2 linked regions of the Xenopus tropicalis genome follow. The protein of the gene in region 2 purifies or fractionates together with the protein of the main gene of each other region. This does not show direct contact. Links are inferred from orthologs where the notes say so. Each region holds a gene or a part of one and is shown on either strand. Other genes may lie near its edges.

Region 1 (3,866 bases), on a different chromosome or scaffold from region 2:
TTAAAATGATCAGGAAAAAAAAAAAAAAAAAATACAGTAACAGGTGACAAATTGCCTGTCCGATGTACAGAATGTTTGAGATTAAGTAGAGCATTTCTGCACAACTTTATGGGAACACCTACAGAACTGATTCAGTGATCTCAGCACAGCAGGATACATAGGGTACAGTTCATATAGAAGGAGTATCATTGTAACATTTTGAAGAAGGAGCAACTATAAAACTTATGGACCATGGAAACAAAGTCCTAATTCAAGAAGGAATAAGGTGAATGATGAAAATTGGAAGTTAGTAAACTGGAAAAGCAGGCACAGTGTGCAGAATCTTTTGAAGGCTCAACTGAAATTACTTAATTACAGATGATTTCTTTTCATACCAACAATTCCAATACAGTTTGGGGGGGGGGGGGGGGATCATGCCCTAGACCACGGAAATCATCACCTCACCAGCAGAGAATGCGTTCCCTGGCCTTGATATAGGCAGTGTCAAAACAAGAAAGAGAATAAATGTAAACTTCATGTCACGTCTCCTTCATTTCTCAGGGTAAAAACAACTTTCTATGCATCGTCAATCAGTTTCTCCCCATTCTCTTCTTCATTTCTCTTCTCAGCCTTCTCCTCTTCCTCCTCATCTATTCCATCAGTAAAGGTATCTCCCTGACCATAGGCAAGAGTTGTTTTAGCCAAGTCCACCTCAATAGGGAAGATGTCGGCCTCCTTGAGTACTTCATAGCACTGGTCATTGTATTTGGACATTGCTGAAACAAATCGTTGCAGCTGGAACACAATATCGTGCACTGGAAAGAACAAAAGCATAGTGAGAGTTAATGGGGCAAATCTAGGAAATTCAGCTAGAACAGTGACACTACATGAATGTAATGTATATGCAATCAGCTGGCCAGGCTTAGGGATCTGGCAAACTTAATTTAAAAGTTATTCCCTTTTTCAACTAGAACCTTTAATACGATTTGCAATTTGTCCCTAGTCTATGGTAAGAGCTCATCATGATCCAAGAGAAAAAGGTGGACATTTCAATGTCTGAGCCAGAGAGTTTTTCATAGTACGGATCTAGCACAGATGAACTTTGTATGTGGCCAAACTAGTGGCAGGCAAAGGCTGTAGGTTTCCCATGACTGGTCTCTATACTACCATCTGGGAATTCCTATACACTCACCATGTTTTTGGTCAAGCAGTTCAATCTTCTCTAGGACATCTTTCCTCATCTTTGCAAAGCGCGCGCGTGCTTCCTGTCGGCACCGCAGAATGAGCCGATACTCATAGTTCCCGGTACCAACACGATATAGGGGTTCTCCCAAGGCCTGTAAAAAAACAGAAAAATACATTAAAGGGGAACTCTGGCTTCTGAACCAAAATTTGTTTGAGCCCCACACATTTCATTTCAAATCCTGGCGGGTAGGAGGGACTGTGATGTTCCTTTCCTTATTGACATCAAGTGTGCAGGGAATTGTGTGATTTGGATAAAGGGGAACAGAGGGCCGGGCTTAGGAAACTGTTCCAAACCATAGTATGACATTAAAAACAATGATGGTGCTGCATATTTTTTAATTGATTTATATTGCAAAGTTGCTTGAAATTGTATTTACTTTTCAAAAAGCTTAAGTTGTGTTTGGGTGGCATTCCCCTTCATTTTAGGAAGTTATGATAACTTTAGTTGTATTATAAAAAGCTCAGGATGGCACGTCAAGTGCGGAACAGTACACACAGCCTAAGGCTTTTGTCACCCCAGACAGGAAAACAAGTGTCTGGAAAGAAAATATAGGTAAGTTTAGGCAATACTCACAATGCTACTGTATTCTTCATCATCCATTTCCTTCACCTTCAAGCAGTATGACTAAAGAAAAAAACATTTTTATAAAACTTCAACATACACTACTGCTTCCTCCCTCACTATCCTCTGACAAACCCCAGGTCTGAACAAATAAACCAGCATGGAGCTTGCTTAAAAACAAAATTATCACTCATACACAAGGTTTGGTAGACTCTAACAGAATCAAGTCTAAAGCAACTGAACTTTGATTTTTTTTATTAAAACATTTCACCAAGCTTTGGTAGAATGTATATAAAAAAATAGCCATAGCAACATAATTGTATCGTTTATACAGGAGCAGTTGCCAGCTCCATGTTGAAACTACAGTCAGGTGATCCCAGCGGAGCCAATAAAAGGAGGAACCATTTGGGAGGTTTAACCTTGAAGGCAAGCAAGTTGCAGGTAAAACAGTCCCTGTGTAAAATGTATAATAAACAGTAGAATTCGTAATGAATTAGATGAAAGTGAGAATTTGCTATAATGGTAATATGTGTTCTCTGCCATGCAATGGACACTGATAAAGGAAGCTGTAACTGACCGCACAAACAAATCTGATACTCATATGTAGTATGTGCTTTCTGTCTGGTATTGTCCCATTAAGTATAAACAATTGGGAAGATACTCCAGCCAGTCAGTTGGCCACAAATCACAGTGTGTGCAGCAGGGATGTCCCACTTACCTGACTCACTGGGGCTCATTTATAAATACTGGGCAAATTTGCACCTAGGCAGTAACATACAGCAACCAATCAGTGATTTATATTTTTTAAATCAACAATGAAAGAAGACTTCAAATTGGTTGCCACAGGTAAATGCCCAGGTGCAAATATAAAGGACCCCCCACTGTAGTGTCACTGAGGAGTTCCGTGACCATATACAAGCATAAGGGTCAATAGCCAAGTGCTATGGAACTCCGAGGTGACTTCTAATATCCTCATATTTTACAAAAGAGGGTACATTATTTATTATAATACACAGGTTTCAGCAAGTCATGTGAATGAAATTACATATCTAAACACCTATTATAACAGCTGACATCACTAAGCACTTTGTATAAGGATATAATTTACAGGGAAATCATGGCACTCGGTTTATGTACTCACCAGATATTCAAATTTCACATCAAGGTATTTCCGGATGGTGAGCTTGGTGTCAGGAATTGCTTTATTAAGGTAAGTGTTTAAGTCACTCAGCATCTGTTGGGAGAGACAGAGAACTCAGGGCTGCTAGTAGAAAGTAATGCCCTCCTACACAGTCAGAAGCTTTGCATCATAGAGATTATTCCATAGTCTGACATTGTTAGCAATGCATCCTTTAGTATAACCCTGCCCAGAGCAGGATAACAATAGCATATGATTGGCCAATCACTACTCATACCGGTTTTATGGTCTTTAGAAGGCCAATTCCAAATTTTTCAATGCTGCGATGTGCGTCTGCAAACTTGACAAAAGCTTCACTTGCAGCCGGCTGTGGTTCCCGCACTCCGATGACTGAGAACACATCCCCGAAAGCTGCAGCAAAAAGATTTCAGATAATGTTACACGTGCACCGGTTATCACTAATGGTACAAAATGCAGAGCAAAGCAACAGGACAGAGGAGTATGTGAACACAAAGTCAGTCAAGGGGAACTTCACCTGTACATTAACTATCGATAAGTTTACATAGATCTATTCTAAGCAACTTTTCCCATGTCATGATGTTTATGGGGTGGTTTTTATTACTAAATTACACTGTGTACATTGCAATTTTTATAGCTGTTATACCAGTGTGCAAGCAGCCTTATCAGCAGATTGTGCACGATCCTGAGCTTTCAGTATGAACCAGCATTGCACAAAGACACTTATTTGAGAGCTACCATTTCTCCTATTCAATAATATCTGGATAAGTCCTGGGGTCCTGGTTCTGTTTCTTCTGCTTGTGTGCAACTCTCATATCTACCACTAGGTGGGGCTCGGAAGCATTTTTAGCAAGGCAAACAATTTCTGACTTTATTTTGATCTATACAATGCAGAAACCTTCTACAGAGTAAAGGCCCCCATAC
Region 2 (4,297 bases):
AACTATTTCTTGGCAAAATATGTGCTATTTTTATATTAGAAATCAGATATGACCCCAGTTTATCTCTTTGGTGAAGTACAAAAACCACAGTATTCTTCACAGCTTGCCTGTTATTTGCTATAAAAAATGTGCCCAATTGCCCTATTTCAATATCTATTAGAAAATAAGTCATAGATAATAAGTCAGTTAACCTGTATCCAATGTCCATAAATTCTGGATAATGTACTTTTTTTTTTTTTTTTTTTTGCATTATCTTTGCTCAGATGATTTTTAAAGTAGACAGGGCTGGTTGGTCACAAAATGTGAGAACAGTATGTTTGTGAATCTTATATTTTCAGGACACTGGACCCTGCGGCTTCTGAGGGAAAATAAAGTAAATTGTCACCCTAGAAGATGAAATATTACCTCTCCAGCACAAACCGAATGAAATACTATCGTATCTCTCTGATCCTTCTACCTGGTTAGTCAAGGACAACAAAGTCACCAGGCTGATATGGAATGTTATAGATACTGTTCCCAGCAACACTCCATATTGGTAACGATGACAAAAAACCTCTATAATGTATTTTATTAAGTCACAGTTACAGTACCTAGGAACTAGTAGGGAGCCAGAGTTCAAGGGGAAACTCAAATGACTTTTGGGAAATGCACCAAGGCTCTAGTAAAGCCCATGCATATGACGTGCATAAAGTAAGGACCACATAGACTTTAAAAAGGGAAGGGTTAGGCCATCTTGGAAGGGGGAGTGAGGATGAAGTAGGGTTGCTACAAGCTGTTTGGTAAAAATTGCTTTCAAGAAGGCAGCCCTAGAAAGAAGAAGAGAATGGGAGGAGACAAAAAGTGGCGAAAATATGGCCTGGAAACAAACAGTTCATAATGCACAACACACAAGGAAAATAATTGACCAGAGCACAGAAGAAATACAAGTAATTTTGAGTCCCTGATAGTTAAGTAATACTAAGGAAAGAGTTATTATTAGGAATTAAAGATAATTAGGGATCAGTGCCTGGAATACAAAGGGACTAAACCAGTAATATAGCAGAGACCACAAGGAATGATCAGTTATTCTAAAGAATATTCCCATCTCCCAAGGTTCATTGTTTCAGTAATACACTTAAAATAAATAAAAACTCTAAACATCCAACAGGAAGTCTTACAATAAATGGAATGGATAGTGTTTCATGCAATTTATCAGAACTTATTGATTGCCATCATAAACTTGTGGTTACTACATTACCCTCATACCTTAGGGATTCAAAAGACCAGTGAGGACTGATACTCTGTACAGAGGATTAGAACTGGGAAACAAGAGATGAGACATTGCTGGACACAAGTAATAACTAAAATATGTTGGCGCTTTATAAATAAATGTTAATAAATAAATAAAATGTATAAAAACATATTTCCTACATGGACACAATAGGGTGCCAAATAAGCAGCTTGAAGTACAATACAGTTTACATAAGACAGTAGTTGTTTTTTCTTTAAAGGTGTGTTTGTACACCAAAAATCTGGGGAACTGTGTTAGCCCAATATCTTTATTGAGGGCTAAAATCTCTTGTCAGGTGATTGCACTGTAGGTCTAAGGGGGGCTGTTATGGATATTTTAAAGCCACATTTTTGGGCTAAATGTGTAAAAAAGTGTGTGTAAAATCGTAAAAAGAAATGTGAAGTTAATTCACAATACAGATTTTGAGTACAGTCCAACTAATTTTAATGCAAATGGAATGTAAGTGTTTGGATTGGTGGAGAGGACTCCCATGCAGGAGACTACAGGACAAAGCTGTTCAGTATCCTTACATACTACAGGTATCGGGCCCCTTATCCGGAAACCCGTTATCCAGAAATCTCCAAATTACAGAAAGCCCGCCTCCCATAGACTCCATTTTAATCAAATAATTCAGAATTTTATTACTGATTTCCTTTTTCTCTGTAGTAACAAAACAGTATCTTGTAATTGATCCCAACTAAGATATAATTACCCCTTATTGGATGCAAACAATTAATGTTTTATTGATTTTTTTGGTAGACTTAAGGTATGGAGATCCAAATTATGGAAAGACCCCTTATCCGGAATACCCTTGGTCCCGAACAGGGGCCTTCTGCCTGCATGCAAATTAGGAAAGATTCAAACGTAATTAAAGATGGCCATGTGTTCCAAAGTGCCCATCTTTCATTTTTTTTCACTGGTGGTGCAGCTTCACTGATGTTGATCAGTAGAGATTAAGGGGATGTGCTGCTTCTGTCATCTACAAACAAAGTACAAAGACTGCCCTGTGCATTAACCAACCAGGGACGGAGTGGACAGAGGGCCAGTGCCAAGGGCTGTGCTGGATATAAATACAGAACTGACTATGCCATAATGTACCGAGTACTCTGAGTCTCCCCATCCCACTGCAGAAAATCTCAGGTTTGTGCCTCATGTTAGTGCCTAACTGTGCTTTAATGCAGCTTAACTGTTGCAAATTTGTTATAAAGCTTTACTGAACATAATAAAACACCACTTGATCACGAGTGCACAGATTCTTATAATATGCTTTTCATATTATTAAATGCATATTGTTTATAGCTATGATTTTTTGGTGTAGAATGACCCATGAGCAAACTGGGTTCTATTTTCCCTTTAATTGTTTTACAATGTTTTGCCAAATATGGGCTCATACGATACCTTTGCGCACATACAGCTCTGACTGAAAAAATCTATAAAACTAAGTGCTCTACTTGTAGAAACAGAATTCTATTAGGTCTTCCCTGAAACATTTGTTTCTACCAGTCACTTACCATACATTTTGCAGCGGTAATGAAGTTAAAGATGTGCGCCCAGAAACACGGAATGGCTACCTTGGCCCTATCTGTTAAGGTTTCCCATCAGGCAGGTACCAGTGGGAATTAATCTGCTCTGGCACGCAAACCCCCCACCCTCCCAACCTGCAGACAAAGCAGTCTCACATGCTCGCTAATTGCCCATTATAACATCAACACTGAACTGCTAATGACAACAGCTCTTCAGGGTGTTAAATGAGGGATACGAGAAAGTGATAAAACTGTTAAAGAATTAGGTAATAGAAAGATTGGCTTACATGGTCTCTAGTACATTGAATTACCTAACGTACATGTGATGTCAGCCAGATGCAGTCCCCTTGGTTTGGGCTGCCACGCTTCCTTGCATCAGATTCCCTGTAGTATTAGTATATTCTTTTGCCTGATTTTGCACTTACTAGTAGACACAGAGTTTTCTACTGAGGCAGCGTATTACAAAACTTCTGAGATTCCTTAGGGCTGTACAAGTACAACAACCAAATATTAACGGGTCCAGGTTTTTCTGGTGGGCCTCAGGAGTTTTTTGCATCAGAACCAGTATTTCTGGGCCCCTTTTGTAGTCTCATACCAACAGTGAACATGGGCAGAACCCTCTCTGTTACATGCAGTAACACACCAAATAACTACTTATTGCACCAAAGACCTGAAGTGTCAGGCATCATCCATTTTTCAAAATATTGCATATACAGTGTAGTGCTACAACAGGAGTGACAGCTTTAATAATAAAAGGTTCAGCCATACTGGAATAATGGCGTTCTATAGAGTTGAATTGGATTGAAGCCTCATGTAAAAGTAAAGGTGAAGTCATGCAGACCTAATAAGCCATAAATGAATGAAGTCTCAAAGGCTGATGCCTACCCCATGCCTAGGGTAGAGGAACCAAAGGTTAGGCCTGTTAGGTACATGTCAACTCTAGGGGGCAGATTTACCAAAACACGAATTTGAATCCCGAATGGGAGAAATTCACATTGGAAACGTAAATATTGTGACTTTTGTGACATTTGTGATATTGTGACACAACATTTCGTATTTTTCGCGACTTTTTCGTATGGAATGATAGTAAATGCCGGGAAAACCTTTCTGACTTTGCATGATTTTGGAAGCCTCCCATAGGACTCAATGGCACTCTGCAGCTTCAATCTGGCCCAAGGAAAGTCACCATACCGATGCTTGAATGAATCTGAATCTTTCGTACTCGGCGCAACAATATGATTTTTTTAGCGACGGCGATGAAAAAGTCATGAAAAATACGTGCAAGATGCGAAAAAGTCGTGATGGCGCTGAAAAAGTCACAAAAATACCGATCATTGCGAAAAAAATGCATTCAAAGCGTTTGTGGGTTAGTAAATGTGCCCCTAGGTCTTACTAAAGGTTATTGGCAGGTACCTTTAATGGCCAAAGGAAAAGATAGCTTTTTCTACTCCTGAGGGTGTTTTCCATGTGGATCTAACTACATTTTAAAGGTTTATAGACTGCA

The links.
Region 1: the proteins of asic1 (region 2) and pick1 purify together in Homo sapiens (affinity purification with western blotting; 3 studies listed by BioGRID and IntAct, with this or other methods). This does not show direct contact. The link is inferred for Xenopus tropicalis from reciprocal best matches to the Homo sapiens genes ASIC1 and PICK1.

Annotation. Positions count from the first base shown.
Region 1 is NC_030680.2:128,871,698-128,875,563, reverse strand, and holds the end of pick1 (PRKCA-binding protein), read right to left. Parts: intron 3,336-3,866; coding exon 3,202-3,335; intron 3,021-3,201; coding exon 2,928-3,020; intron 1,850-2,927; coding exon 1,799-1,849; intron 1,317-1,798; coding exon 1,172-1,316; intron 795-1,171; coding exon 556-794; 3' UTR 508-555; downstream 1-507. UniProt on the Homo sapiens protein: Probable adapter protein that bind to and organize the subcellular localization of a variety of membrane proteins containing some PDZ recognition sequence.
Region 2 is NC_030678.2:148,611,795-148,616,091, reverse strand, and holds the start of asic1 (acid-sensing ion channel 1), read right to left. Parts: upstream 2,861-4,297; 5' UTR 2,782-2,860; intron 1-2,781. UniProt on the Homo sapiens protein: Forms voltage-independent, pH-gated trimeric sodium channels that act as postsynaptic excitatory receptors in the nervous system, playing a crucial role in regulating synaptic plasticity, learning, and memory.